Linked DNA regions of Cricetulus griseus. The main gene of each other region encodes a partner of the protein of the gene in region 4 in a complex. Links are inferred from orthologs where the notes say so. Each region holds a gene or a part of one and is shown on either strand. Other genes may lie near its edges. The genes, in order: Sarnp, Ddx39b, Thoc3, Thoc2, Alyref, Thoc5 and Thoc7.

Region 1 (3,819 bases), on a different chromosome or scaffold from region 4:
CTGCTTTGCCTCCTGAGTGCTGGGATTAAAGGCATGCACCGCCGCAGCAGCCGCCACCACCACCAAAACCTACTTTCTATTTTGTCTTCTTTTCTTCCACTGTAAATCATAAACCATAGAAGGTAAACTTACATGAGATACAGCTTCTGCCTCCTTATACAGTTTCGCACTTTTCTACAAAAGCAAGTTTTCTGTCCAAGTATAAAATTCTACGCGTAAGGTTTTACAGGACTGGACATGGTAAAGCATGCCTTTAATCCCAGCTCTCTGGAGGCAGAGGCTGGTACTAAAAGGTTTTATAGAAATTTATACTGCACAGGGAATCATAGATTCTAATCAAATAATCCATTATGGTGGCACACAAAGGAACAAAGGCTAGGAGAACAGAACTGTGCCTGTACTAAAGCTAACCTGGTTCTAATTACAGAGACTTAATCTGACTTAAAAAATGGGAAAAACCCATTTTCTTCACTGGAGACATACTTAAATCAGGGAGACCTTTCTAGAAATGCCTGACCTTATCAGAAACGAAAAGGTCAGGGGGAATGTGTAACAAATAAACAGAATGAAACTTTAAAGCAGTATTTTTTTTTTTAATATACTAAGTGTTTAGTTGGTAAATGCTGCCACACAAGCCCAAGGAACCGAGTCCAAGCTCCAGTCGCCCTGTGAAAAAGACAGGTGTGGAGCTGGTGCCTAAGAACTCAGCACTGGGAGATAAAGGCAGGAGATCCCTGGGGCTCACTAGCCAGTCGCTCTGCTCAAATGGGTGAGCTCCATGCCAGTAAGAGACCTGGTCTCAAAGATTAGGTGGAGTCAGGCGCACACTTGTAGTCCCAGAACTCAGGAGGCAGGGGCTGACAGATCTCTGTGAGTTCGGGGCAGCCAGGACTACATAGTGAGACCTTGCCTCCAAAAAACAAAAACAACAACAACAACAACAAAAAGAAAACTAAGGTGGAGAGTGATTAAGGAAGACACATCATATTCCACACATATATTTCACATTAGCACACCCAAAAATACAACTATCTGCTCTTATTTAGACTATTAAAAAGGGCTGGGTGTGGTGGTACATGACTTTAGTCCCAGCACCTGGGAGACAGAGGCAGGTGGATCTCTGAGCGTTCCAGGACAGCCTAAGAGAGTTCCAAGATAGCCAGGGCTACACAGAGCAACCATGTCTCTTGCATGCCCCTATCCCACCCTCCAAAAAAGGAAGAAAAAAACAGATTATTAAAAAGGAATAATTACACATCAACAGCTTTTTCAGGAGGTTCTTCCTCTTTAACAGGAAGTTCTATAGGCTTTGGTTCTTCTTCCTAAAAACAAAATGAAACAACATGGTTAACATAAATCTAGAATATCCATTAAGAGCCAGCACCTGGGAGGCAGAAGCAGGCGGATTTCTGTGAGTTCCAAGCCAACCTGGACTACACAGTAAGACCCTGTGAAGAAACAATAATAATAATAATCAACTTTAAGCTGGATAGTGGTAGCACACACCTTTAATCCCAGCACTCAGGAAGCAGAGGCAGATGGATCTCTGTGAGTTAAGAGGCCAGCCTAGTCTACAAAGCAAGTTACGGACAGCCAAGGCTACACAGAGAAACCCTGTCTCAAAAAAACAAAAAAGCAAACAAACAAAAAACAGTAACAAAAATATCCATTTTTTTAAAAAAAGATAAATTGGGCATGGCAGTACTTAAGAGGCAAAAATAGAAAGAAAAAGAAGTTTAGGTTATCCTCAGCCACACAGTGAATCTGAGACCAGCCTGGACTATGAGATGCTAGCTCAAAAACATTAATTAAATTTTATCAGGAAAGTAAAAGAATATCCATCAAGAGACAACCTAAGAACTCCAAAATGAACCAGTCTTTGATTTCTTTTAAGCACTTAAAAAGTCAAAGGACTGACAATAAACAATCTAGCCAAAGCAATGACACATTATCAAGCCACTGACTAACCTTTCCCAACTCACCTCAGTTTCATCTCCCAGTACATCTTCTTCATTTGCTTCCTCTTCAGCTACAGAACATTAAAATATTCAGGTCAAACCCTGCTATAAAACCATCTTGATCACTGTGATAAGAGTAAAATTACAACCTCTTTACTTTCCCAAAATTATATTCAACAATAATGGCAGAACCATTCCTTACAAAGTAAGTCACATTTAGAGAAGATAAAACCAGATCTCTATTAAATGTTAGTATAAAACTGAATTCCATCTGAACTGAATAAATGCAATTAGGCTGTACTTAAGTCTCACTATAAAATTAATTTAAAAACTAATTAGGGGGGTTGGAGAGATGGCTCAGCGGTTAAGAGCACTGACTGTTCTTCTAGAGGTCCTGAGTTCAATTCCCAGCAACCACATGGTGGCTCACAACCACCTTGAATGAGATCTGGTGCCCTCTGCTGGCCTGCAGGCAGAAGACTGTATAGACTGTATACAATAATAAATAAAATCTTAAAAAAAAAAAAAAAAAACTAATTAGGACAGGGTATGGTGGTGCATGCCCTGTAATCCCAGCATTTGGAAGAGCATTTGGGAAGATAGAGGCAACACAATCAGTAAACTCAAAACCATTTGAAGCTACAGAGGCCAGCTTGGGCTATATAACATCTTGTCTCAAAAACGCAGCAAAAAAGGTGCGTGCGTGCATGCATGTGTAAAGATAACACAGTTCAATTCCCAGAACCCACATAAAAATTCAAGTATGGTGCTGGAGGACCATTGTAACCCCAGACCTGGGGAGCCAAGCAGAACTAGATTCTAGTGACAGAGCCTGAGTAAAATGACGAGGTGGACGGCTCCTAAGAGCAATACTCAGGGTTGATCTCTAGTGAGTGAGAAGCAGAGAGAGCAAGAGAGAAAAAGAAAAAATGTGTTACAGAATAACCAAGAAAATACCTTTGAAAATGGTGGAAGACTAGAAAGATGCCTCAGCCACTAGTGACCAACAAGCAACTCCACTACCTGTAACCTCAGCACCAAGGAATTTGACACCTTCTACTGGCCTCCTCAGACACCCAAACACATGTACATTCTCTCTCCATGTACATTCTCTCTCTGTGTGTCTGTGTCTGTCTGTCTGTCTGTCTGTCTGTCTCTCTCTCTCTCTCTCTCTTTCTCTCTCTCTCTCTCTCTCTCTCTCTCTCTCTCTCTCTCTCTCACACTCTCACACACACACACACACACACACAGGTGGTGAAAAAATTATTTTCAAAACTACGTACTTCTACTAAAGAACACCAAGGGGAAAAAACATAAAAGACCAATGACAGAGATATTTGTGTTTAAAACCAACAAGGTAGCCCCATGCCTGCAATTCTAGCACTTGTGGGCAAAAACAAACCCACAGAATCAGGAACAAAGAAAGTTTAAGAGAGACATTTAAACTTTCCTCATGGAGAAAAGTATATTAAGACCAACAAATTAGCAAAACTAGGCCACTTGATAGGATAATGCCAAATACAGGTTTGTGTAAATAAAAGAACCCTGAGTGGGCTGAAGAGACGGCTTAGTGGTTAAGGTTTGGTTTCCAGCACTCATATGACCACTCACAAACCATCCATCTTTATTTTAACTCCAGTTCTCCTTCTTCTGGCCTCCTCAGACACTAGGCACATACACGGTACATTAATATATACGGGCACACACCCCTACAAATGAAATAAAAATATCTTTTCTTTTAATTCACTTAATTTTTTTTGAAGCATATGGGTGTTTTACCAGCATGTATGTTTGTGTACATGTGTATAGTGCCCTCGGGGGCCAAAAGAGGCATCATCCCTCAGGACTGGAGTTCTAAATG
Region 2 (3,973 bases), on a different chromosome or scaffold from region 4:
AGCCCAGGGCCCCTGAACTGACTTTGTGGATCAGAAGAGCCTGTCACTGTACTAAAGGCTCCTATGCAGCCTTCAGGAACTCATCAATTACAGCGGCTCCATGCCTCAGGACAGTCAACTGTTACCCCACAAGCTCCCAGGACCTCCGCTGTCCCAAGCGCCTCACCCTTACCTTGACATTCGGCATGTACTTTGAGAAGCGCTCGTATTCCTTGCTGATCTGAAAAGCCAACTCCCTAGTGTGACACATCACCAGCACAGACACCTTCAAGGGAACAAATGGAGACAACACCCTATCAGTCCTTTGTCACCCTCTCTCCAGAGTGACTGTCAACAGCAGCATCTGTCAAGTTATTTGTGACATCAAATCTGAGGTTTAAAACAGTAAGCCTTGCTGCTGTAAGCATTATGTAGCCACAAACAGCCTTCAGTGTATCGGCCTCAAAGCCCTCTGCAGCACTGCCTCAAACACACCTGCCCAGTGATTGGCTCCAGCTGCTGCAGTGTGGCCAGGACAAACACTGCTGTCTTCCCCATGCCTGACTTGGCCTGGCACAGGACATCCATCCCCAGAATGGCCTGTGGGATGCATTCATGCTGGACTAGAAGGAAAAAGGGGAGAAAGAGAGAGACTTTATGCACCATACCAAACCCCTTTCCTCGAGTTGATTCTCCAGATTTTGCCTGGTCCCTGTCACTTTTCAGACTGACCCATCCTCTCTGTCCCCTTAGTCACATTTACACCCAAATCAAGTCTCAACTGCATCCTAGCTTCAGGTTTCCCTGGCGCAAACCCTCTTGCACCTACCAACAGCTTACCTTCCATGTGCCTGGCATTCTATAACCTTGGACAAAATGAAGGACTTGGTACTTGCCCCAGAAGCCAGCAACTTTAGAGCAATCATTAAGACCCCAGGTGGCCTGGCCCAAAATACTGGATGTAAAACTCCAGCCAAACAGTCAGAAAGACGATCAAGCAAACAAGAAAACCTGGGCACAGGACAAACAGCATCCTGTGTGATCAAAGCTAACAAGCATCTTCTAGCGCTAACATCTGGGTACATTCTCATTGCCTGGCCTATATACCCTAAACACAAATCCCATCTTTAAGATGCATCATGAGGTCCCTATGCCCAACAATAAAATGTACCCTCTGATGGATGCTCAAAGCCACAGTCCACGATGGCCCGGAGCAACTCTGGCTTGAGCAGGAAGTCTCGAAAGCCGGAGCTGTGGATGGAGACGTAGGAGCCCTTCACGTCTTTCTTGGCAGGAGCTTCCGTCCCATCTCCACCTGCTGCTGTCTCCACCTCGTCGTCTTCATAGTCCAAGAGCTCATTGTCCACATCATTCTCTGCCATAATTGGGCCGGCAGGGGAGAAGGGAGGTCTTTGGGTGAGTGGTCCCAGAGAAGGTGAGAAAGCAAGGGGGAGAGAGGGGGCTGAGGAACAGCAAGGGAAGAGACACCAGTTTCCCGACAGAAGAGCTGGGAGAGAGAACAAAAAAAAAAAAAAAAAGAAGAGCTCATCAGTCACGTAGGGACTTCTCGCCCACCCTCACTTTCTTCGTGTTCTCCCTCAACTACAAACCTCTGCCCTGGAAGAAAAGTAAGAGAAAACGAACACCGGGCGAGAAAAAATGGAGAGTGGTCTCGGGTGTGACTGCTGGACAGACTTGGGCTCGCACTTTGACCCAAGAGGAGCAACTCCCGAGACCGTGAAAAGATGAGCCCGAAGCCACCCGCGGGAGGGTGACAATGCGTGGGACAGGAGGGGACCTCAGACTGCGCTCTCCCTGTGGCCCCACGGTGTTGGTCCCCCCAGCAGCCATCAGTCAAGGGTGATAGATGAAGGTCAGCACTGCGCGGAGCGCTCACTTCCCATTGCAAACATCACGTGGCTGCTACTTACTCCCCTGTCCAGCGGCACCTGCGTGCCGCGCTGGAGGCGCTCACCTGGGACCCCAGTCCTGGGGGAGCAGGAGCTGAAGGACGGAGGGCGGGGAGGCGGGCCCGCTGCACCTAACCGCGGGAGCAGGGGCGCCAGGGGCTCAAGGCCAAAAAGCAGGCAAACAACGCCAGAAGCCGGCAGCGCAGACAGTTACATTTTAATGCCTGCCCGGCCACGCGCGAGGCGCTCGCCACAAGGGTGGGCTTTCAAAGCCGCAGGCTCTCAGCTGGGGAAATGCAACCCTCAGGCTGGGACTTGGTGCCAAGCGGCCTTGACAGCGTCTGGCGCGCCCCAGCCTCGCTCCTCCCCGAAGGTGAGCATTCCGGGAGCGCCGACGCCGCAGCGGGCAAGCAGAGGCCCTGGCGGCTGCTCGTCCCCGCCGCGGGCCGCGCCGGGCCCGCCCTCCCGCCAGCGCCGCCTCCGGCCGCTGCGGCCCGCGCGGGAAGGGGACCCACGGGCCACCCAGGAAGCGGGGGACACAATGGCGGCCCGGGCCTCCATTTTGGATCGTCGCCCCCGTCTCCCCGCTCCCCACCGAGGTTCGCTCAGAAAGGGACGAAAACGACGGCACCGCGCGCCCGACCGAGCCGCAGCGGCCAGGCCGCCGCCCGGGCGACGGGTATCAGGGGCGCGCGCGCGGGCGCGGCGGGGCCGGAGCGGATGGCGGCGGATGGCGCGCAAGGCCCCAGCTTACCTAAGCACTGCGAGCGCGTATGGCGGCGGCGGCGGGGACGCAGGCGGGAACCTGCCTTCACTTCCGGTCCCGGGCGCTTTTCCCCCCCGGCCTGCCGCCTTCCCGGCCGCCAGGGCGCAGGCGCGCGATGCCGGAAACCGGAAGTCGGCAGCCGGAAGCCGGCGGTCCTGGAGGCTCCGGCCGCGCCCGCTCGGGGGTGCCTTCGGAAAAGGTCTTCCGACTCCGCCGCCGCCGCCGCCGGTGACCGGAGCGCGACGCGGGCTCGCACCTCCCCGCCCCCTCACCGCGGCGTCCTTCGTCCTTTCCCCGCAGGCTGCCCTCGGGCACCGCGGAGTCTGCGTGCCGAGCGGGACGCGTCCTCACGGCGCCCTTAGCCTGGCACCCAAGGTGACCTGAGGGTGCCGAGCTCAGTCAGGCTCCCGGGGCCGGGGGAGGTGGGGGGGCGGGCACGCCCTTCGCGGCTGCGCTGGGAACGAGCGGAGCTGCCCCAAATGGCGGCGGCAAGGCGGCCACTTAGGAGATGGAGGTTTGCATTCTGCCCGCGCGTTAACAAAATAAACGGTGCGTTTGAGGGCTTCGCAGCTTTCCATAGTTGTTGTCGTTATCATCGGTTTTCTCGAGACAGGGTTTCTCCGTGCGGCTTTGGAGCCTGTCCTGGCGCTCGCTCTGGAGACCAGGCTGGCCTCGAACTCACAGAGATCCGCCTGCCTCTGCCTCCCTAGTGCGGGGATTAACGCGTGCGCCACCAACGCGCGGCTCCATGGTTATTAATTAGGGCAGAGTGCTCTTAGTCCCACCACAGCGGCTCCATTGTTCAGCCTGGGCCTTCTTCCCCCTCTAAACACGTGGTTCTCCCTTCTTTGAGATGCTGCATACACGAGGAGCGATGTCCTGCCGACTATAAGCGCGAGCTTCCCCTGTTAGCACACTTTACTCAGCTGTTAAGTTGGCACCCTCGTCCGCAACCCTCAGCATCTGACAGCCGCCCCCCTCCCACCGCCTAGGAGTAGGTGGGGATTCCTCGGCCCCTGGTAAAGTAGGAAATGCTTTAGCTCCAGGGGCCTATGGCTTTGAAGTTCCCAGGAACTCTTGTAGTAAGCCAGACGGCAGGCTCTAGGCCACCTCTTTCTTCCTGTTGTTCCTAAAAGGCCAGGAAACACCCCTCGGGAGAGGCCTTTTATTGAACCTAACGTAGTAGCACTGAGGAGAGTAACATAGTGAGGTTTATCCCCGTTGAGCCCCCCAACTGAGTCAAACTTCTACTTTACAGCCTGCAAAGGATGTTTGCACCAACACAGCAAAGTCGTGCAAATCAAGGCTTGTGTTTGCA
Region 3 (4,583 bases), on a different chromosome or scaffold from region 4:
GCTAACTTAACAGGGCAGCCCTTCAATCAATTCTAAAGATCCTTAGAGTCGGGGAAGGGCTTCCAAAGACAAAGCAGTAGGTGCAATAGAACCCCACTCTCCCCGTGTTACAGTACATCCAAATGACATGTGCTAAAACACAAAACCACACCCCACACTCTCTGTTATAGTACATCCAAATGACCTGTGCTAAAATACAAAACCACGTGCCCCACAGGACTTCCCCAAGGGACAAATGAACTGTTCCCATACTGAGGCTATCCTCTATGGGATGGCCATATTCCTTTGCCTGAAAGGCGGTTTTTCACTTGTGAACAAAACACCTGTGATTATATTCCTGCTAACTTGTCTCACAACCTACTGTTGTTTAAGCAGAAAGCCCCACTAGGCTAGTGGTGGCACACACCTTTAATCCCAGCATTGGGGAGGCAGAAGCATGAAGATCTGAGTTCGGGGCCAGCCTGGTCTACAGACTGAGTTCCAGGACAGCCGGGGCCACACAGAGAAACCCTTTCTCAAAAAAATCAACGAAACAAAAAGAATACTTTGCTTTGCCATGTTAGTCTTGTAACTTGGGGTAGGCCACTTTGCCTCTAACACAGGAGGTATAAGTTCTCAGTGCATGGTAAAAATATGCAATCATATGAAATATTTGAAAAAGAAATGTAAGGAGGGAAAATTAGCAAATAGATTTGTACCCAAAAGACTTCATTGATTTCACTGACACTTTTTTGTATAAAATCTTCACAGTTTCCAAAAATGCCTGCTTGCCTCTGCGTCCCCAGTGCTGGGGTTACAAGCCTTCGACACCACAGCTGGCTTCATACAGACATTTTCACACAAGTATACATTATATGTTGAACATATTCCTTCAGGGCCCCCTATCCCGAGCTCAGAGCTCTTGTACAGCGCCTTAGCTCATCCTGGAGCTCACCATTGATGTTTTTCCAGCTGAATATCTTTTGTCTAAGAGAGATGTAAGAAGTGGGAGGCGCTGAGATGTGAATGTAGCATACACAAGTGGTCACTTTACTTTTCACTCTTCTTAAAAATTTACTATCTTCAAAGCCACAGAGAAACCCTGCCTCCAAAAACCAAAAAAAAAAAAGAAAAGAAAAAGAAAAAAATTGCTATCATACATATGCAATATATTCTAAAAACTAGGATCAAAAGACAAAACAAAACCCCCAAACCAACCAAGCAACCTTGCCCAACCCAAACCAACAAATCCACACTCTCATTAACCAACTCCTTATTTCCACAAACAGCTAACCTTTCTCCTTTGCTGTGGCCTTCTGCTTTAAGGGAGGGAAGAGGGCCTTGTAGTGAAAAAACAGCTCTATTGAAAAGGGTATTTTTGTCCTGGCAGTGGTGGTGCACGCCTTTAATGTCCCCACTGGGGAAGCAGGAGCAGGAGAATCCGAGTTCGAGGCCAGCCTGGTCTACAGAGTGAGTTCCCGGGCAGCCAGGACTACACAGAGAAACCCTGTCTCGAGGGGAAAAAAAAAGATATTCTACTGGTAAGTAAACTGGAGGCTTTATCTTGGTTCTCTTCTTCGAATAAGCGAGACTATCAAGAAACGGGTTAGAAGACCATTAAAAAAGTCGAACTCTTCCAAAATGCTACTTCCAAACGTTAGAGGCGGACACGCGTTGCATGGCGGGATTTGCAGTCCCTTGGGGGGAGGGGCGCCAGTGAGACACGCGCGCCTGCGCAGAGTGACGCGGCGGCGTTCCTGGTGCATGCGCGCTGCTCCCGGCGCATGCGCGCCGCAGCGGCGCCGGGCCCGGTGTCTGTAGCCGCCGGTACGCGGTCCTTACTGAGAGAGAGAGCGAGGGAGCGAGACGGAGGCATGGCGGCGCCCACGTCGATCCTGGGGCCCCCGCCGGTCAGCCAGAGCGGCCCCGGCTCGATGGCGCCCTGGTGCTCTATGAGCAGCGGCCCGTCTCGCTACGTGCTCGGGATGCAGGAGCTGTTCCGAGGCCACAGCAAGACGCGCGAGTTCCCGGCGCACAGTGCCAAGGTGCACTCGGTGGCCTGGAGCTGCGACGGCCGTCGCTTGGCCTCGGGGTCCTTCGACAAGACGGCCAGCGTGTTCCTGCTGGAGAAGGACCGGCTGGTGAGCTTGTAGGGCCCGGCCCGGCCGGGAAGAGGCGGACGTGGTGTGGGCACCGTCGTTGGTGGTGCGGTGAGCGGGCGAGGCCGCCCGGAGGAGCGCGGAGCGGGAACCTGGTGGCAGTTAGGCGGTGGCGAAGGGGCTGCGGGACGGAGAGGTGCAGTCAGGTGGCCTGCAGTGGTCAGGGTCTAGAGCAGCCCTGGGCGGGGAGTGCTGGCATCCCCACGGGGTCGAGAGGTTTTATTTGGAAACGATAGCGCCTCCTTTGGGAATGGACCGTTGGATTGGGATGATGATGGTGGTGGAAGAGGGGAGGGCAGGAAGGGCAAGAGAAGAGCCAGTGTCCAAGCTCAGAACAATTCACAGGGGCTGAAGTTCTGGAAAGGACTGGATTCTTTTGGATCGTCCACATCTTTGCCGGTTTCAGGGTACCACCGTTTGGATAAAAGTTAAGTTGCGTGTGGAGGCAGGTGCATCTGTGTGAAGTGACACCTGGATTCTGCTCTTTTAAGGTCAAAGAAAACAACTACCGGGGCCACGGAGATAGTGTGGATCAGCTCTGCTGGCACCCAAGCAACCCTGACCTCTTTGTCACCGCATCTGGAGATAAAACCATTCGCATCTGGGACGTGAGGACTACAAAGTGCATCGCCACTGTGAATACTAAAGGTAACTTCAGAGAGAGAGGAGCCTTAGGTAGAAAAGCTAATTATAGTTTCCAGAAACTGTTGACCGTGTTCTTTGCAGCTAGTGCCACAGAGTGGGTTATCAGGATGATGTATACATGTCCGTCTGGAGGAGACAAGGAAGAGTAGAATTTGAGCACGTTTTTTGATCATCTGTAGTAGTTACTGGTCAGAGCGGTGGAAACAATACAAAGAGGAGTAGTGTGTGTGAAGGCATAGAGGATTTAGGAGATTCTGGCAGGTTAGAATGGCTGAAACCTGGATGATCTTGGTTTCCAAGAAATGATTGGAAAGTTGTACATCACATTCAAACGCTGTTTTCTTGTTATATAATACCCTGTAAATCTTGAGTCTAGCATAATTGACTCTAAGAGGTCATCTACAATCTTTTAAGAAACATTTTTGTTGTTTTTAGATTTTTAATTTTTTTCAAATAATTTATTTACTTTTATTTGCATTGGTATTTTGCCAGCATATATGTCTGTGTGAGAGTGTCAGATCTTGGAGTTACAGACAGTATGAGCTGCCATGTGGGTGCTGGGAATTGAACCCAAGTCTTCTGGAAGATCAGTCAGTGCTCTTAACCGATGAGCCATCTCCCCAGCCCCAGATTTTTTTCTTTTTCTTTTTTTTTTTAATTCTTTTTATTTTTTATTTTAGATTTTTTTTTTTATTTTCAAGTATGTGTGCCTCATGTATGCAGGTGCCAGAAGAAAGCATCTTATCCCCTATAAATGTAGTTACAAATGGTTGTGAACTGTGGGTGCTGGTGATTTAACTTGGGTCTCCTGGAAAACAACAAGTGCTCTTAAGTGCCGAACCATCTCTTCAGCCCCACAACAAAAATGTTTTTGTTTATTTATTTATTTTTAAACAAAGCATTTTTGCTTTGTTTTTTTTTGAGACAGGGTTTCTCTGTGTAGACCTGGGTGTTCTAGAGCTCTCTCTGTAGACCAGGCTATCCACTCAGAGATCCAACTCTCTCTGCCTTTGCCTCCTGAGTGCTGGAGTGAAAGGTGTGTGCCACCACCACCCTGCTCCGAAACAAATTCTGATAGATTTTTAAATGCACTATAGATAGTAAAGTGTGAAAGAAAAATGGCATTTTTGATTCCATGAAGTTGTGTGCAGTGTGGACGACTCCTGGACTTAGATGACAAGACTGGTTTCTGGGAGTGGTGTGACGTGGTACTTTTGGACAAATGTTAGCTGCCAGCAGCAGCTTTCTTCCATTGTCTTGGTGATTTGAGCACTGAAGAGAGCTCTGATCTTCTTTCTAGGGTAGCAGAATAAGCTTCTGGAGGAGGATGGGCAAGGATGATCTTGCTGATGGCTTGTGTCTGGGTTCCCAGGGGAGAACATTAATATCTGCTGGAGTCCCGATGGGCAGACCATTGCTGTGGGCAACAAGGATGATGTTGTCACCTTTATCGATGCCAAGACACACCGTTCCAAAGCGGAAGAGCAGTTCAAGTTTGAGGTCAATGAAATCTCCTGGAATAACGACAATAACATGTTCTTCCTGACCAATGGCAACGGTTGTATCAACATTCTCAGGTGAGGGGCTTCTGGCTAGAGGGACTGTTGTACCTCTGTACTGGGTGCTATGTCAGGTACATAGATGAGTTAAGTGTGAGCCTAACCTAGAAGACTTGAAAGAAAAAGTATTTAAAAATCCTAGTTTTTTTTAGGGGCACATTTGAGCCAGATATTCTGCATTTTATTGAGTTCTTACTGATATTGATTGTAAATGTTCACTTAATTATCAGATAGCTGGCCC
Region 4 (3,819 bases):
CTAAGTTAAAAGGTAACTTTTTTAATGAGAGATTTTGAGTTAGGGAGATGGCTTATTTGTAAAGCACGGGTCGAGCTCAACTTCCTAGAACTCACTCAAAGACCAGCACAAAATCACTCATCTATAATCCCATTGGCTCCTATGGTAAAATGGGAGACAGAGAAAAGAGAATTTTTGAAAAGCTCACAGGACAGCAGGCCTGGTATAGGCAGCAAAACAGATCCAATTTCAAACAAGGAATAGGTGTGGAGTAATAGCTGAGGTTATACCTCTGCGCACATTGTGGCAAGTACACACCACTACCTACATACATACAAATGTGCATATACACCTCCCTACAGACACACACACACACACACACACACACACACACACACACACACACACACACACACACACACACACACACACACACACACACACACACACGACAGGAATTTAGACTTGTGACACTTGGCATAATGTTCTTACCTGTTAGAACCACTATTTCCATTGCTTGAATTCCCTTTTGGTGTGGTACTAGAAGCCTTATTCACAGCTTTTGTACCACACTGAGATCTCTCCCTTGGTTTATCTGAAATAAAAACAAGACTTTTGTTAGCAAACTGTAAACATAAACTATGAATTCACAGCAAAATGATTAGTGGATAATTAGAAGACTTAGGAAGCTGATTATTTCTTAACAGTTACATACTCGTAACTAGGGATTAAAAAGCAATCTGGGGCTTGCATTGTAGTTATCATGTGATAAACTATTTCAATATATTATTGATAAGTGTCTACAAATAAGCATACCAGTCTCCTCAGTACCACTCTCATCCGATTTAGATGCACTTCCTAGGGATGATGATGAAGTCCCACCACCAGGCCCATTTTGTACACTGGCAACAGCATTTCTTGGAGGAGGATCTTTGTGATGAAATTCATTTTCAGGTATCATGTGTGACTTTCTACATTTCAACATCCCCCAGTAGCTGAAAGTCGCACAAAGCGTTTAAATACACATACACAAATCAAAAAACACAAATATGGAGTTTAGAATAAATTATTCACTCTGCTACTTGGTTCTAGAAAATAAACTACTGCTTTTTAGTATATTCTTCAAGGTCTATAGTGTTCTAAAAACTTAAGTCATTCTTTCAAAATAAACTAGTTCTTTAACTAGAGAGCCTTTTTCCCCCTTTTTGCTCCTCAAGATATAGTAACTACGACAAAATTGCATTTTTCCATTTCAAGAAATATTATATGTGGCCTTTGAAACTATCATCCAGTATAGACCGGAAGTTGATAATCAGAAGTGACAACTCTCACCAGCCTGTGGGAACATGATCGCATAATCTCCCATAATCTCCTGAAGTAAAGCAGAAGATAAGACTTCAACATTGTAAAACATTTTCACATCTTCAGAATCCTTCTGTAATCTAGTCTCATAAATCACATTAAAGTATAATTGTGTTACCCCATAGCCAATGCATATAGATCTGGCCTCTTCTCTTTTTCTTCTTGGCATATTTTATTCACTCTTCTTTCCAAAGCCTGACCCAGATTCAAAACTTTTGGGTACCAAGGAAGTATTTTTGTTAGCACAATCAATATATTCCTGATATGAGTATATTCGCCTGTCTCAAGGCAATGCACCGATGCCTATAACAGACATTTAAAGATCTGTTATCATAAAATACAGGAATGAAGAGAAAAAAATTACCTTTCAAAAATGTCCACTTGTTTTTACCTTGGTTAGTTTGTAATGCCACTTATGTACAACATGTCGAAAATTTTCATAATCTAATTGATCAGCTTTATTTCCACCATCAAATCCAGTTGCCCGCAATATGGTAAGGAATCCTGGATAGTTTCCACATTCCTAAGAAAAAATAAGTTTCTCATTTTTAGAAGTTTAATTTATCCCACAAAATAGGAGAGTGAGACCAGATAAGTAACCAGCTATAAAAGAAAGGTTCAGATTATCCAGTGGTAACAGCTTCAAATGTCAAGTTGAGATACAATTAAAAAATTCCTCTTTTTAATAATATATTAATTGTGGTTTTAAGATCATTTTATAGCTGAATCTTAAATTGTTTTAAAATTGACCAATCTGAAGCAATCAATATCCACACAGGTAAAAGACGAACACATTTACCAATCGCATACCTTTTCATATGTGGCTCTGTCACTGTGCCACCTGGTCACTGTCTCTAACACATTTACCAATCGCATACCTTTTCATATGTGGCTCTGTCACTGTGCCACCTGGTCACTGTCTCTAACACATTTACCAATCGCATACCTTTTCATATGTGGCTCTGTCACTGTCTCTAACACATTTACCAATCGCATACCTTTTCATATGTGGCTCTGTCACTGTGCCACCTGGTCACTGTCTCTAACATGCAGCAGAGGAACCTCCCGTATCGACTAGCTTCATTTTCAGTACAGCTTGCGACCGTGTAAATTATGTCAGAAAAAACCTGGAGGAAAAAATGTTTGAAAAAGATTATCAGACTAAAACTATTAAAAGACTATTATTATAGGAAATAACAATAATCATTAAATTTCGTAAAAACTATACTTTCTCCTTTTATATTCACAACTACAGAGATCTTTGGTGACTGTAGATTCTGTGGAGAAACAGCAATCACAATGCATCCAAGTAAAGTTTTATGAAGAAATTTGGTTGATAATGATAGAAGAAAAGGCTATTATTATTATTATTATTATTATTATTATTATTATTATTAAATAGCTTCTTGAAGACTTAGCCATTTGTGACTGAGACTGAATAGACAGTACGCAAAAGCAAGGCCTACCCCTAGTGACCCATTTCTTCCAGCAAATATCTAGTTCACAAAGGTCCAACAACCTTCCCAAAGAGTGCCCCCAGGTGAGGACAAAGTATTTAAATATATGAACCTATGGGGATATTTCACATCCAAACGCCACCACTGCTGGTTTTAATCTCATCACCATCGTTACTAAAGCAGAAGTAACTTGGACTAAAATATGGGTCTATGTGAGAAAGGTGAGAGATGGTCTTTGGAAAAGAATTTGTAGCAAAGGTGATAACATTTAGAAACAAGCAGCACACATGATATAACACATATTTCTAACCCACAAATGCAGTAATGAGAAAAAAGCCAGATGAAAAATCTGTGAATACAACAACACTAAAATGCTTTCCGGCTTTTATGCGGTGTGAATGTGTAAGTTGAAGGTTTTCTTTAGTTATGTTTTGAGGAGTGAAAGTTAAGAGTAGAGAAACCTACTTATAAAGATACAAGATTATAAAAATCCTGAGTCAATGGGTTAACCTTGAATGCAATAGATACCATCTCATGGGGAGTTGTTTTTTTTGGTGGGGGGGGGGTGTTCAAGACAGAGTTTTGCTGTGTAGCCCTCGGTGTCCTGGAACAAACTCTGTAGATCAGGCTGGCTGGCTTCCAACTCACAGAGATCCTCCTGCCTCTGCTTCCTGAGTGCTGGGAAAAAAAGGTATGCATCCCCACCACCTAGCTACATGGGGTTTTTATATATAGTGACACATTTAACCCTCAGATCAATCTTATAAAGTGGGCCCCTTTTATAGATAAGAAGACTGAGGCACAGAGAGGTTAACTATCTTGTAAAAGATCATATAGTTAGGAGTAAGTAGAGCTAGGATTCAAGGTCAAGAATTTCGCTCTTAAGATCATGCTATTCAAAAAAAACAAAAAAGCAAAACAAAAAAACAACACAATAAAGGTCCGGCGTTGGTGGCGCATGCCTTTAATCCCAGCACCCAGGAGGCAGAGGCAGGCGGATCTCAGTGAGTTCGAGGTCAGC
Region 5 (4,576 bases), on a different chromosome or scaffold from region 4:
TGCCTCTCCGGGTGCCGCCACCACCAAAAGTTCCAGAGCCACGGTTTCTTGTCATGCCACCTCTGTTTATGCTAACAAAGAAAAACAGAATGCTGCCATCTGTCTGCAAAGGCCTTGTAGGTGGCATTATCTATCACAAACCACAGGCCTTTCCCCATCCCCAAGGGCCCTAGCACTTACCTTTGTGCAGGTCTTCTCTGTGTATCAATTTGTGATGTGACGAGTTGAATGTTCATGGGACGGCCTATGGTAAAGAATACAACAAGTCTCACTCCAGAGGCTCTGAAGCTGACCCAGAAGGCACCACACCCTGGTCTCCATGCAAGCTCTAGAAAGGGCCTTTGTGTGTCTCCAATGCCCCCAACAAGGTACAAGGCCTAGAGAGCCTGGTGGGAAAATAAAGTGGCAATAACACCCCACCAACACCTCCTCACTCCTTCTCAGTTCAGGCTAAGAGGGCTGTTTGGTCAGGTGTCCAGGGTGCTCATGGGTGGACAGGTGTGGGTAGCCTGACGGAAGAAGAACAGGTACCTTTGTCTTTACGACTACAGCCCCGCACTCAGGTTGTACTATGGCGGTTCTGAGAAGGCTTCACAGAAGTGAATCTTCCGGAAGGAGCTGAAGGAGGGGAGGGATGTAGCTTGCTGGATGGGGGTTCACAAGAGGTTGGTCCAGATGTGTGGGGCAGCATGAGAGGTGGCAGAATGGAAGAGAGAGACAAAGGGGCAAATGCAAAGTGTCCTCAGCCACAGGGGCAGCCCATATTCCTACAGGGAGAGGTGCCAGCCCCAAACTCCGTAAGCCCCAGGCATCCTGGGCCCAGCCCCATATACTCACCATCTAAAGGGACACCATTGTACTGTTTCATAGCCTTCAGGGCATCTGCCTTCCGTTCAAAGTGCACATCTGCTGTCCCTAAACTTCGGCCAGAGCGATCGTAGTGCACGGCTGCTTTCTTCAACGTTCCAAACTCTGCGAAGAGTTCCTGGAAGTGGACAGGGCAACTGTTAGCCAAGCAGTTAAGCTGTTTTCCCTCTAGAGGCTCAGTTCAGTAGCTGTGAGGGTTCCTGGGTGCTACTTTACTGACCACCACCCAGAAAAGGGGCGGGGCAGAGGCAATCAAGAGGTGAGGGAAGGGTGTCACTTTGAGCACCTGGGTTCCTGTCCACGTTGGGACGTGTGTGACTGTACCATGATGCAGGTGAAGGAAGCACACAGAAACTACCTCTCTCTCAGCAAGGGCACTCACAACCTGACTAATGGCTGTTTCATCAGATAGCAAAGGCCAAGAGAAAAACCAAGGGAAGCTGTTCATAGAGCAGACAGCTCAAAGGGCCCACTGATTTGGGGAGCTGTGACCCAAGCCCCTCCCCCAAAGGCAGATTCTGGCTCACCTTTCCCTCTCCTCCTACTCAAGCCTGCTGCAAAGTCTGAAGTCAAATGCGCCATGGAGACTGCCCTGACCTCAGGCAGGCTGGGAGTTGGAGAGGGAACCCAGAGTGTGGGGCTACTTCGGCCGCAGGCACACAGCGGGAAGTGAAGTTCACCAAAAGCGGTTTCCAGTGGATGCCAGAAACCACCTTAAAAAAAGTGTGGAGACACTGTGAGTGCTCACTGGCCTTGCTCTATGCTCCCTGACAAGGCCAAATGGCGGGGCTCTGAGAAAGGGAACCCAGAAAGGCCCAGCACCCATGACCCAAAACTAACTCCTAAAAACCTGCTCTGTTAACTCTAATTGCATTTGAGGGCCAGAAGAAAGACAGAGAGAGGGAGAGAGGATAGAGATGGGGGGGGGGGGAGAGAGAGACAGACAGACAGACAGACAGACAGACAGAAAAAAAGACTTCAACCAAAGGTATGAGAACAATGCCCCTGGTAAGACCCAGGAAAGGTCAGTCTGGAAGACACACAGCCACCATTCACCCCTGTGCCTTCAGACATGTGGGGGTGGGGAGAGTTTTCCTTCTCATAAGCTTACTACTACAGGCACAAAGCCTGAGAAGCTAGCACCCTCGGTCACACAGGGACCGGACTTGTGGCCAGTCTGTGCCCGTTAGAAACTGTAAGCCTTGCAGACGGCAGGTGCTCGTGACGTTAGCAGACAAGAGCCACTCTGGGGGCACACCAGGCTGCCTTCCAAGCAGCCTGACCTATCAGTCACATTCAAACCCCAGGGGATACTACTTTTTGTGAGGGCAGCGGCTGGCCCTTGGGCAGCCTGGGGGAGCACAGGCTCTGATCAGAAGGGATTCTGTGTGTGGGGATAAGCATGCGGACGGCTCTGGTCTCTTACCTGAATATCTGCGTCTGACACTCCAAAGTCAAGGTTTGACACCAACAGTTTTCCGCCGGTCTCCACGCCGGCTCCACCCCCGAAGCCGCTGTCGAACAGATCGTGCTGCCATTTGTCTGGAAGTTGTTTCGGCTGAAGGGAAAGAGAGGTTCGTGAGCGACCTCGTCTCGGGCGCCCCGATCCCTCCCCGGCACTCACACTCTCTCTCTCACGGCGGCCCGAGAGCCCGGAGGAGACGACCCCCACGCCCGCCGCTCCGCCGCCACGAGGCGGGACCGGACCGGACAAAGCGTCCCGGAAGATCCCGGCCTGTGACCGGGGCCTCGCTCACCGCGCGGCGTCGCCCCCGCCCACCCTCCGTTCCGTTCCGTTCCCGCGGTTCCCGCAGGACGCCCGCCCGCCCGCCTCAGGGCGCCGGGAGCCCGCCCCGCCGGCGCCGCGCCTCCCGTGCTCACCCTGCTGTAAGGAGCCGGCCGGTTCCTGCCGCCGGCGGCGGCGCCGCGAGAGATGGCGGGCCGGTTCCTCAGAGGCCCGCCGCCTCGGTTCACCCGCGCGGCCGCCTGCACCGCCCCGCCGCGGCCGCCCTGGGCGCCGGCCCTGCCACGGCCCCTGCCTCCGCCGCGGCCGCCTCGCTGGCTCCGGTTCAGCTTGATAATATCGTCCAAAGACATGTCCATTTTGTCGGCCATGGCGGGCGCGGAATCGGGCCTCAGATCGAGCCCGCGCGTCAGCACGTCGCTAGGTCACTTCCGGAGCTTCCCCTGGTCTTCCGGCGTCGCGGCCCCCGAAGCTGCCCCTGATTGGCCTCGGCGCGCGCGGAGAGCGGAGGGCGCCTGCGCTGCGCTCAGGAGGACGGCCCGCGCGAGTGTGTGGCGCCCGGCGCGGCGCGGTCGTTTTTATACCTCCCGCGCTCCTGCAACGGAAGGGCGGGGCGCCGCGAGATTAGGTGGAGTGGGCGAGGCGTGGGCGGGGCCTGGCCTGGGATCCGCCCTGCGCAGGCCGGAAGGCGCCGGATCGAGTTCGGTCCGTCCGCCCGCCGAGTCCCTGAGCTGCGAGGCGGGGGGCCGATCTGTGGATCCGATTTGGGGTTTGTGGGCTCGAAGGGATGGTTTTTTAAAATTTAATTTTATTTAAATTTAGCAAGCTGATGGCTTGTCACGCGCGGGTTGTGAGTGAAAACCGAGGTGTTTTTCATGGATGCAGTGGTTTTTGTTTTTGTTTTCCTCCTTTGGTTTTGGGCGGATCTGCCTCCGCGGCGCTGAGGTTAAAGGCGTGAGCCAGCCTGGCCCGCTACCTGGGTGCACAGCTCTAAAAACGACCTTCAACATAGCAAAACAACTTGGGAGCCTGGCTCCCTGGAGGCGCCTAGCACGCAGCTCCCCGCCTTAAATGCTCAAGTGCCGTCTGTGGTAGTAATACAGAGTAACTTTAGCCAGGAAACCCTCTTCCCTCAGGTCGCACGCTCTGCTGCCATGAAGGTGAAGATTAAGTGCTGGAATGGTGTGGCCACGTGGCTCTGGGTAGCCAACGATGAGAACTGTGGCATCTGCAGGATGGCGTTTAATGGCTGCTGTCCAGACTGTAAGTGCCCCCCCTCCCCCGTGCTCTCAGAACTTCGGCCAGCTCCACCAGCCTTGAAAACCTTGGGTTTCCCAGCACTAGGGAGGCAGAGGCAGGAGGATCTCCGAGATTCCAGGACAGCTAGGGCTACGCTGAGAAACCCTGTCTCGAAAAACTAAGAAAACCAGAAAATAAAACCGTGGGTTTTACTTTCCATTTCCTGAAGGAAAGTTGACAGAAAATAAACGAATTCTTCAAACTCACTTTTGTATAAAGACCCTATCCAGCATGGTGGCAAACATCTGTAATACCAGCATTTGGGAGCAGAAACAGGTAGCCTCTGAGTTGGAGGCTACATAATGAGAGTCTGTCTGTAAAAACAAAGAAAAGCAAATAAACAAAAACAACACTTTTGTTTTTGCCAAGGCATGGTGGCACAGACAGAGGCAAGAGGAGGCTTGAGTTTGAAGCTTGCCTGGGATACATTGTGATGATTGGTCATTCTCTTAATTCCTCAAAATGCTACTTCCAGTTTGAATTTTCTCCAAGCAAAGCAGAACAAATGAGGATACCCCTGCCCAGCACACTGAAGTTCAGACAGCAGTTTCCATACTTTAAGTTGATGCTTATAAACTATGAGCAACTTAAGCCCCGTGTCTCACAAAGCTGCTCTAGCATCCTCGTTCCAGCATCTTTCCCCAAATGTCTTGTTATTGGGGTTTG
Region 6 (4,414 bases), on a different chromosome or scaffold from region 4:
TACTCTTCCAGAGGTCCCAGATTCAATTACCAGCACCCACATGACAGCTTACAACTGTCTATAACTCCAGTTCAAGTTCCATCACCCTCATACATGCAGGCAAAACACCAATGTACATAAAATTTTTAAAAAGAAATCATTTTTAAAAAGAGAAAAAAAGAAGTGCTAATGAAAGAGCTGATTCTTATGAAAGACAAACCAGATAGCCAAAATCTTAACCAAACTAACCAAAAGAGAGAGAGAGATCTGTTACTGAATGTTTTCTGTCACACCAGGCCCAATGGATCTAAACTAATTGACATTAGAAATAAAAATAGCCCTGGCAGTGGTGGTTCACGCCTTTAATCGCAGCACTTCGGAGTCAGAGGCAGTCAGATCAGCTTGGTCTACAGAGAAAGTTCCAGGACAGCCTCTAAAGCTACACAGGGAAACCCTATCACCAAAAACCAAAAAGAAAAAAGGAAAAAGAAAAAAGAAAGATAGATGTCACATGGATTCTAATGAAATTCAGAGGCTTATTAGGGGGCACACTAAAAGAGAGAAAGGATTTCCCAGAGTCAGGGATAGGAAAGATGGCTCAACAGTTCAGTTAAGAGCATGTACCGTTTTGCAGTAGACCTGCATTCAGTTCCCACACTGGATACCTCACAACCATCATAATAAAAATAAATAAAGCTGCTGGGCATTGGTGGCACACACCTTTAATCCCAGCACTCGGGAGGCAGAGGCAGAGGCAGAGGCAGGCAGATCTCTGTGAGTTCCAGGTCAGCCTGTCAGATGGGAGTTCCAGGACAACCTCTAAAACAATACACAGAAACCCTGTCTCAAAAAATAAATAAATAAATCTTTAAGGTTTTCCAGAATTAAGCTGGGCATGATAGTCCATACCTTTAATCTCAGCAGTCAGGAGATCTCTGTGAGTTTGAGGCCAGCCTGGTCTACATTGCAAATGAAAGGGCAGCCATGCTACTTGGAGATACTGTCTCAAACAAACAAAAGAGATTTTCCAGAATTCAACCTAGAGACCTTCCTGCCTCAGCCTCACCAGTAATCAGATTATAGGTATGGGTGATCATGCTGTGCTATCCCCTTCCAATTAAAAACTTATTTTTGGCTAGGTGTGATGGTAAACACCTTAATCCCAGCACTGGGGCAGGAGGGGGGGACGGCAAAGGCAGGTGGATTTTTGTGAGATTGAGGACAGCTTGGTCTACATACCAAGACACTGTCTTAAAAAACAAAAATCACACAAAATTTTGATTGCTTCAAGTACATCTAGTTTCCTACTTTGTTGTTAACAAGTGCCAAGGTTCTTGGAAGAAATGGATTCTTGCCTGGGCGTGATGGCACACACTTTTAATCCCAGGGCTCGGGAGGCAGAGGCAGATGGATCTCTGTGAGTTCCAGGCCAGTCTGGTTTACAGAGAGAGTTCCAGGATAGGCTCCAAAGCAACAGAGAAACCCTGTCTTAAAAAACAAAACAAAACAAAAAACCAAACAAACAAACAAAACACAAAGGAAATGAATTCTCTCTCAGAGCCTTAGACAGGGAAACCAAGACAGAATTTATCAATAGTCATGTTTTCATTACATTATACATATTATGCAATTCTACCATTATCATAAGACAAATGCAACCAGTTTCCTGTTTATGATACACAGACCTCAAGTTTTCTACCAAAGTAAGTTTAAGTTTAAAAAGTGACTGTGAAGTTGAGAATGCAATTCAGCTGGTAGAGTGTGTGTGCCTAACACACTCAAAGACATTGAACTCCTGGACCTTATAAAACTGTGGTGGGACATGCCTGAAATAATAACACTATGGAGGTAGAGGATGGAAGATGAGAAGTTCTAGATCAATCATCCTTTGCTACATAAGTGGCTTACAGGTCAGCATAGACTACATAATAAAATCCTGTCTCCAAGGAAAAAATGGAGGGAGGATGGACTGAGACAGGGTGGTACACATCAGTAACCACACTTGAGTGAGTTACTGAGGCAGAAGGATCTTTGCGAATGTGAAGCCAGCAGGGGGAGCTACCGGCCAGAATAAACTATAGAGACTGCATTCAAATTCTTCATTAACAGGGCAGGTGGCACCTCTTCTTACTGACCAGGCCTTTGCAGTATAACTTTAAAAAAAAAAAATCTTGTTTTTTTTCTTAAAAGTAACATAAGTAAAATATTTAGTGAAACAACTAAACTAAATCAGGCCAGCTAGATAGGAAACAGGGGACATTTGAAAGAAAAGCCATGCTTCCCTCCCCTCCTGACATCCACACTTCACGCTCTCAGCCTTTTCGCTCCAACAATAAATGCACGAATTTTCTTTCACTACGACTCCTTGGAGTCTTCTGCGGCGCGTTAAGTGAAGAGAGAGCCGGCCTCTAGCGGCTGTGAATGACAGTTAATCAAGTGGCGGGCTCCTCTGACAAAAGCCACAAAAGTGGCAGCGAAAAACCTGGGAAATCCCAAACGTCACACGGGAGAGTTTCACACACACACAAAAGGACCATAAGCACGGTGTTGTCACTACCACAGCCATCAGCACCCTACGGAGGCTAAAGGATGCTGCTCCGGTTAGGTCCCAGGAGGGGGAAAACAGCCACGAGCCCTGAGGGAACCCAGCAAGTGAGGACCCCAGCCCTGGAAATACGCGGCGTGTCCTCAGCACCTCAGACCCCGTGCGCCTCGCGCCGACCAGCAACCCCAGCTCGCAACACTACCCTCGCTCACCACAATGGTCCTCACGCCTTCCAGCCAGGCAGCCACTTCCGGATCACGACCATAGAGAAGCGGAAGAAAAGAGCTACTGGCCGGAAGTGAAACACAAAGGCCTGATGCAGCTTGGGAAGCAAGGAAGGGGCGTGTACGCGGCGTGGCTGCTTTTCTGATCGACCCTCCAAAACTGGAAAACTGCGGCGATGAGGACCTAGAGCCTGTGCTCCATTCCTCACCAGCGCAAGCGCAGTGGGCTCTCTGCCGAGTCACTTGAATTCATGGCATGCTCAAAAAGCACTAGAGTGTCGCTGTGCCGTAGCTGGGACCCTAGGTGGATTTGCCTCCTGACTGTGTGCGAGACTGGCTCTCATTATATAGCACTGGCTGGCCCTTGAACGCTGTGTACATCAGGCTGATCTCTAACTCATTCAGGCCCGCCTGTCCCGACCCCACTGCAATTAAAGGCTTTAACTTGAATTCTTAACACTGTCAGAATCACTACACCAAAGGCGGCACTTAATTAGGCAGGTATAATTCCATATTACGCCCATTCCCCCTTCACACAAGTGCGTCACTGTTTCTCCATGTTAAGCTTGATTTTTCATGACAAAAATCGCTGCCTTAATGCAGTATTTGAAAACCTCAGGTAATTCTGAAGTGAATCCTACTTGTTTGGGGGCTTGAAACATGCATGGAATATCTGGTTATGCAGAAATAGTTCCTTCTCTTCCCCTGGGGTGAAGATAATGTCTTCTCTGAGAGATCAGGGGCACAGTACCCCCCAGCCAACTGGACACTGCCCTGCCTTATACAACTGCAGATGAAGACACCACAATTTACAGTAAATATTTAATTTGGTTCCATCAACTATCCCAGTACATTTCCCTGGTATGGTAGCAAAACCATGCTAGGCAGGGGCTCATGAGGTATGAGGGTCATTGAGGAGACCCCAGAATCACTGAACCCACTCCACAGGCCTGGTGGTTCTGCAAAACGAGGGTATGTTAACAGAATGTCAAATTGGGGAAGAAGGAAATCAAGATGAGAATATAGGTCGCAGCCTGTATTCTTGCCTGTAGGAAGGAGGAAGTGCAGAAGAGCTAGAACACATATTCAAGTTTTAACTGAATCATGTAGGAAAAAAGGGCTAAGCCTCTCCATCTGTCTTAGGGTCCTCTTCCTAGCATCTTCCATTATCTCTATCTTCCAATTCTGTGTTTCAAACCAAGCTGAGTCCTATGTTCCAGCTTCTCCTAGGTTCCTGCTTCAAGTCTGTCTCATATACCCAAGTCCTCCTCCCTTCCATCCTTTCCCAGCCCCTCTGAGTGAATTCTGGGTCTCCTCCAGACTTTGATGACTTCAGAGTTTACAGCTGTTCCAGGTTTTTAAGGCTCAGACTTGCATTTTAATGAACAGAGACCAGGGAGTTCCCGGAGGCCATACCTGGTCTGGTATCTCTTCACACCCCACCTCTTAACAACTAGTCATGCCGTCTGTTAGGAAACTAAGCCATGTCCAAAGTGTTAGCTGGGGACTTGGCCTGGAGACGAGAAGCCTTGGGGAAATGTGGGAATGCTTAAAATGTTGCTATTCTTCATTAGGGAAATTAGAAATTCTTCTGGCCTGGGAGAGAGGTGGGACAGGTATAGACAGAACTGTAAGTGCTTAGAAAACATCATCTTTTCCAAGCTGA
Region 7 (3,819 bases), on a different chromosome or scaffold from region 4:
GCCTTAGTCAAATGATGGGATTTCAAATATGTACCACCATGGACAGTTTAAACATTACTCTTTATTTTTACTTCTTTGGGCTGGAGAGATGGCTCAGACGTTAAGAGCACTGACTGTTCTTCCAGTGGGCTAGAGAGATGGCTCAGAGGTTAAGAGCACTGACTGTTCTTCCAGAGGTCCTGAGTTCAATTCCCAGCAACCACAAGGTGGCTCACAGCCATCCGTTATGAGATCTGGTGCCCTCTTCTGGTGTACAGATATAATACATGGAAGCAGAATGTTGTATACATAATAAATAAAAAAATAAATAAATAAATAAATCTTTAACTGGCTCAACAGTTGAGTATATACTGCATTTTTATAGAACCCAAATTCAGTTCCCAGCACTCAAAACTGCCTCAACTCCAGAGATAAGATGGCCACTCCTGGCCTCCAAAGGCACCTGCACTCATGTATACATAGACACATATAAAATATTAAAATTATTTTCAAATATTTTATGAACCAGATGAAGGCAATCCTAACTTTAAAAGAGATTAGAATAAAACTAAACTTTATTCTATCTCTAAAAATGATTTTATTTTATGCTGGAGAGGATGTGGAGAAAGGGGAACACTTCTCCACTGCTGGTGGGAGTGCCAACTTGTACAGACACTTTGGAAATCAGTATGGCAACTCCTCATGAAAATGGGAATCAGTCTACCACAAGATCTAGCAATTTCACTCTTAGGCATATACCCAAAAGAAGCACATTCATACAACAAGGACATCTGTTCAACGATGTTCAGAGAATCACTATTTGTAATAGCCAGAAACTGGAAGCAGCCTAGATGCCCCTCAACCAAGAATGGATAGAGAAAATGTGGTAACATTTACACAATGGAGTACTACCCAGTGGAAAAAAACAATGAAATCTTGAAGTTTGCAAGAAAATGGATGGAATAGAAGAAACCATTCTGAGTGAGGTGACCCAATCACAAAAAGTCAAACATGGTATTACTCACTCATATGCGGATTTTAGACATAGAGTAAAGGATTACCAGCCTACACTCCACACTGCCAGAGAAGCTAGTAAACAAGGAGGACCATAAGAGAGACATACATGGTCCCCTGGAGAAGGGGAAAATGTCAAGATCCCATGAGCAAACTGGGATCACGGGAAGGGGGGGGGAGGGAGCTAGGAGAATGAGAAGGGAAGAGGAGGGATACAGAGGGCATGAGGGAGCAGAAAGGTTGAGTCAGGCGAAGAATAGAAGATTAGAATGGAGATACCATAATAGAGGGAAACATTTTAGGTTTAGAGAGAAATCAGGCACTAGGGAAATGTCTGGAGATCTACAAAGATGCCACCAGCTAACAATCTAAGCAACAGGAGAGGCTACCTTAAATGCCCTCCCCTGATAATGAGATTGATGACTGACCTATATGCCACCAGATAGCCCTCATCCAGCAGCTGGTGGAAGTAGAAGCAGATACCCACAACTAATCATTGAACTGAACTGGAATCCAGTTGCAGAGAAGGACGAGTGAAGAGCAAAGGGGTCCAGACCAGGCTGGTGAAACCCACAGAAACAGCTGACCTGAACATCAGGGAACTTTTGGTCCCCAGACTGATAGCTGGGATACCAGCATGGGACTGATCCAGACCCCAGTAACATGGGTTTCAGTGAGGAAACCTCAGAAATCTACAGGACCTCCTGTAGTAGTTCAGTATTTATCCCTAGCATAGGTGTGGACTTTGGGAGCCCATTCCACATAGAGGAATACTCCCTGAGCCAAGACACACTGGGGTGGGCCTAGGCCCTATCCCAAAGGATATGATAGACACTGATGACACCCTATGGAAGGCCTCACCATCCAGGGGGAGCAGAAAGGATATGTGATAGGTAAGGTTTTAGTTGGGGGAGGGGTTGTAGGGGAAGACAGGAGGGAGAAGGGAACTGGGATTATCATGTAAAACAATCTTGTTTCTAATTCAAATAAAAAATGATGTTATGTTACTTTGGTGTTTTATATGCGTGGGAGTTGTGCGGCACAGCGAGAGACTCAGTTCGCTCATTTGACCTTGTAGGTCTTGGGGCTCAAACTCAGGCAGTCACAGTCACACTTGGTGGCAAGTGCTTTTGCCCACTGTGTCAACTTGCTATCCCCTAAACTTTAATTTTTCTACTAGGTAATTTTGTAGATAATGTTTGCTCTTTTCCATGTTTTGAAAGTAGCTTCATTAAACGGGAAAATAAACAGCTCAGTCTGTCATATAACTGTAATAAACACCTCTGTCATATAGCTCACCTCTACAGATTAACTGTAACACTGCTTAGGGGAAAGCATCTGAAGATAGGAAAAAAAATCTGAGAAATACTGGGTAACCAATAAAATTCAACAAAATAAAATCTTTTCCAGCCTACCTTGCTGTCTTTAAGTAACAGAGTTTTAAGAATTAAATATAATTTCTAGTTATTTTTTATAAACTGATTCACAGTACAGATTATACCTTTCACAATTAAAAACTGCACTGAAATTATAGTTGGGAATAAAATATCTCCACAAAGTCCTTCATATCATTCTTACCTTGTCGATTTTTTCGTATTCGTTTTGCTTGAAGAATTTGCTTTTTACATTCAGCAATTTTTTCATGTGCTCCGGCAATACTACATTCTATACAAAAAAAGTAGTTTTTAAAAGGTAATTATAATAACATGTATAATCTGTACTTTTAAACACAAGACATTGATGTTCTACAACACAAGTGTTCCATCTTATTACACAGCACTGTGGTTGCTGACATTACCACTGTAAATATGATGCAATTCTACTATAATACCGATATTACCAAATAGCTTTTCCTTCAAACCACAAATACAATTATACAAACATTATTTACCTATTTCTTTGTATATTTTTTCATAATTCTCCATTTCTCTGAGATTCATATCATACACCAGCAAAGTCTTGCCCATTGAAAACTCACACTGGGACAGGGTGCTCAGCATACGCTGGTACTGGCTATATCTATGAAAAAGGGAGAGAATAAAAAAATGTAAACTAAAGGAAACCAAGTTCTGATAATTATTTGTTTTATATGAAATAGCTTAGAACACCCACTCTTACTACTTTCTTTGCTAGATATGGTGTAAAACTTCTCTGGTTAGAAAGGCAAGGTTAGTGAGGCTACTGTTCTCATCAATAGTCTATGTGTGTCTGAATTAAACTACCCATAACAATATCTGATTAAGAGTTTTCTTCAGAATTCTGTTCTCACCACTTTCCTATTCTATACAATACAATCATTTAAGCAGAAAGTAAATCCATAAAAAACTTCATAAAATTAATATGTAATCATTTTGCAGCAACTTATTATTAACAAAAGAGAAATCTTCATTTAGAGATACTAAACAAATACTGATTTGTTAAAAGTAATTAAATTATTTAGCCTGAGCTCAATCTTTATTTCTTCCTTCACTGCTGTGCTTTCTGCATTATACAGACACAAAGGAGGCCTCCAAAGAAAAGGTCAAGAAAAAGAACATTTCTGATCAATCACGAAGTGGACAGAGAAAGTCAACAGAGTTGTATGGCACGGCCTTGAGAAGACTCCCCCAGGACAGACACTGGTACAGAAATGGCATGGGGAAAGTACCCCTCCTCTTGGGATCCAGAGTTGCACCATTTGATGAAGCTTTTCACAAGGAGATTAATTCTCCGGTCATCCCCGGCACCATCTCCATCAATCAGAAGACGCTTCCGTATGACTTCGTCTGCAGGAAAAAAGGTAAGTGAGAATTAAATGAACATTTGGTTCAGTGTAATTCTCAAGAC

What was found.
Region 1: Thoc2 (region 4) and Sarnp share a complex: the UniProt entries of both Homo sapiens proteins name them as parts of the transcription/export (TREX) complex. The link is inferred for Cricetulus griseus from reciprocal best matches to the Homo sapiens genes THOC2 and SARNP.
Region 2: the proteins of Thoc2 (region 4) and Ddx39b are in contact, whole or in part, in a cryo-EM structure (PDB 7APK), measured with the Homo sapiens proteins. The link is inferred for Cricetulus griseus from reciprocal best matches to the Homo sapiens genes THOC2 and DDX39B. Residues at the interface, in NP_001075019.1 of Homo sapiens: Lys550, Tyr551, Met553, Lys554, Arg555, Leu556, Thr557, Lys558, Glu559, Tyr582, Gln586, Lys589, Tyr590, Asp591, Asn592, Leu593, Pro596; in NP_004631.1 of Homo sapiens: Leu282, Asp283, Val284, Leu285, Glu286, Phe287, Asn288, Gln310, Asn311, Phe312, Pro313, Asp335, Phe336, Gln337, Arg338, Arg339, Arg355, Ile420, Ile424, Glu425.
Region 3: the proteins of Thoc2 (region 4) and Thoc3 are in contact, whole or in part, in a cryo-EM structure (PDB 7ZNL), measured with the Homo sapiens proteins. The link is inferred for Cricetulus griseus from reciprocal best matches to the Homo sapiens genes THOC2 and THOC3. Residues at the interface, in NP_001075019.1 of Homo sapiens: Tyr395, Arg396, Pro401, Lys402, Gly403, Ala404, Lys405, Gly406, Ser407, Pro446, Ile447, Ala450, Arg454, Cys500, Asn501, Ala502, Cys503, Met504, Glu506, Pro563, Arg566, Gln567, Lys570, His573, Tyr603, Leu604, Thr605; in NP_115737.1 of Homo sapiens: Asp193, Met196, Ile208, Val217, Gln218, Asn221, Ala222, Pro224, Ser225, Ala244, Asp245, Ala246, Leu247, Ser249, Trp251, Asp252, Asp254, Glu255, Leu256, Val257, Cys258, Val259, Cys261, Ser263, Leu265, Asp266, Pro268.
Region 5: Thoc2 (region 4) and Alyref share a complex: the UniProt entries of both Homo sapiens proteins name them as parts of the transcription/export (TREX) complex. The link is inferred for Cricetulus griseus from reciprocal best matches to the Homo sapiens genes THOC2 and ALYREF.
Region 6: Thoc2 (region 4) and Thoc5 share a complex: the UniProt entries of both Homo sapiens proteins name them as parts of the transcription/export (TREX) complex. The link is inferred for Cricetulus griseus from reciprocal best matches to the Homo sapiens genes THOC2 and THOC5.
Region 7: Thoc2 (region 4) and Thoc7 share a complex: the UniProt entries of both Homo sapiens proteins name them as parts of the transcription/export (TREX) complex. The link is inferred for Cricetulus griseus from reciprocal best matches to the Homo sapiens genes THOC2 and THOC7.

The regions. Positions count from the first base shown.
Region 1 is NW_023276806.1:129,078,147-129,081,965, forward strand, and holds part of Sarnp (SAP domain-containing ribonucleoprotein), read right to left. Parts: intron 2,030-3,819; coding exon 1,983-2,029; intron 1,323-1,982; coding exon 1,255-1,322; intron 1-1,254. UniProt on the Homo sapiens protein: Binds both single-stranded and double-stranded DNA with higher affinity for the single-stranded form. Specifically binds to scaffold/matrix attachment region DNA. Also binds single-stranded RNA. Enhances RNA unwinding activity of DDX39A.
Region 2 is NW_023276806.1:231,768,492-231,772,464, reverse strand, and holds the start of Ddx39b (spliceosome RNA helicase DDX39B), read right to left. Parts: upstream 2,801-3,973; 5' UTR 2,644-2,800; intron 1,978-2,643; exon of another isoform or gene 1,955-1,977; intron 1,901-1,954; exon of another isoform or gene 1,825-1,900; intron 1,487-1,824; 5' UTR 1,362-1,486; coding exon 1,151-1,361; intron 603-1,150; coding exon 475-602; intron 266-474; coding exon 173-265; intron 1-172. UniProt on the Homo sapiens protein: Involved in nuclear export of spliced and unspliced mRNA. Component of the TREX complex which is thought to couple mRNA transcription, processing and nuclear export, and specifically associates with spliced mRNA and not with unspliced pre-mRNA.
Region 3 is NC_048596.1:273,511,526-273,516,108, reverse strand, and holds the start of Thoc3 (THO complex subunit 3), read left to right. Parts: upstream 1-1,764; 5' UTR 1,765-1,853; coding exon 1,854-2,120; intron 2,121-2,629; coding exon 2,630-2,786; intron 2,787-4,155; coding exon 4,156-4,360; intron 4,361-4,583. UniProt on the Homo sapiens protein: Component of the THO subcomplex of the TREX complex which is thought to couple mRNA transcription, processing and nuclear export, and which specifically associates with spliced mRNA and not with unspliced pre-mRNA.
Region 4 is NC_048604.1:26,152,175-26,155,993, reverse strand, and holds part of Thoc2 (THO complex subunit 2), read right to left. Parts: intron 2,469-3,819; coding exon 2,340-2,468; intron 1,865-2,339; coding exon 1,733-1,864; intron 1,645-1,732; coding exon 1,460-1,644; intron 975-1,459; coding exon 796-974; intron 575-795; coding exon 472-574; intron 1-471. UniProt on the Homo sapiens protein: Component of the THO subcomplex of the TREX complex which is thought to couple mRNA transcription, processing and nuclear export, and which specifically associates with spliced mRNA and not with unspliced pre-mRNA.
Region 5 is NC_048600.1:133,090,793-133,095,368, forward strand, and holds the start of Alyref (THO complex subunit 4), read right to left. Parts: upstream 3,021-4,576; 5' UTR 2,983-3,020; coding exon 2,749-2,982; intron 2,426-2,748; coding exon 2,294-2,425; intron 986-2,293; coding exon 838-985; intron 245-837; coding exon 181-244; intron 72-180; coding exon 1-71. Other genes in the region: Anapc11 (anaphase-promoting complex subunit 11), read left to right, coding at 3,766-3,874. UniProt on the Homo sapiens protein: Functions as an mRNA export adapter; component of the transcription/export (TREX) complex which is thought to couple mRNA transcription, processing and nuclear export, and specifically associates with spliced mRNA and not with unspliced pre-mRNA.
Region 6 is NW_023276807.1:100,003,775-100,008,188, forward strand, and holds the start of Thoc5 (THO complex subunit 5 homolog), read right to left. Parts: upstream 2,886-4,414; 5' UTR 2,737-2,885; intron 2,718-2,736; exon of another isoform or gene 2,675-2,717; intron 1-2,674. UniProt on the Homo sapiens protein: Component of the THO subcomplex of the TREX complex which is thought to couple mRNA transcription, processing and nuclear export, and which specifically associates with spliced mRNA and not with unspliced pre-mRNA.
Region 7 is NW_023276807.1:171,869,556-171,873,374, forward strand, and holds part of Thoc7 (THO complex subunit 7 homolog), read right to left. Parts: intron 3,765-3,819; exon of another isoform or gene 3,759-3,764; coding exon 3,641-3,758; intron 3,013-3,640; coding exon 2,885-3,012; intron 2,659-2,884; coding exon 2,572-2,658; intron 1-2,571. UniProt on the Homo sapiens protein: Component of the THO subcomplex of the TREX complex which is thought to couple mRNA transcription, processing and nuclear export, and which specifically associates with spliced mRNA and not with unspliced pre-mRNA.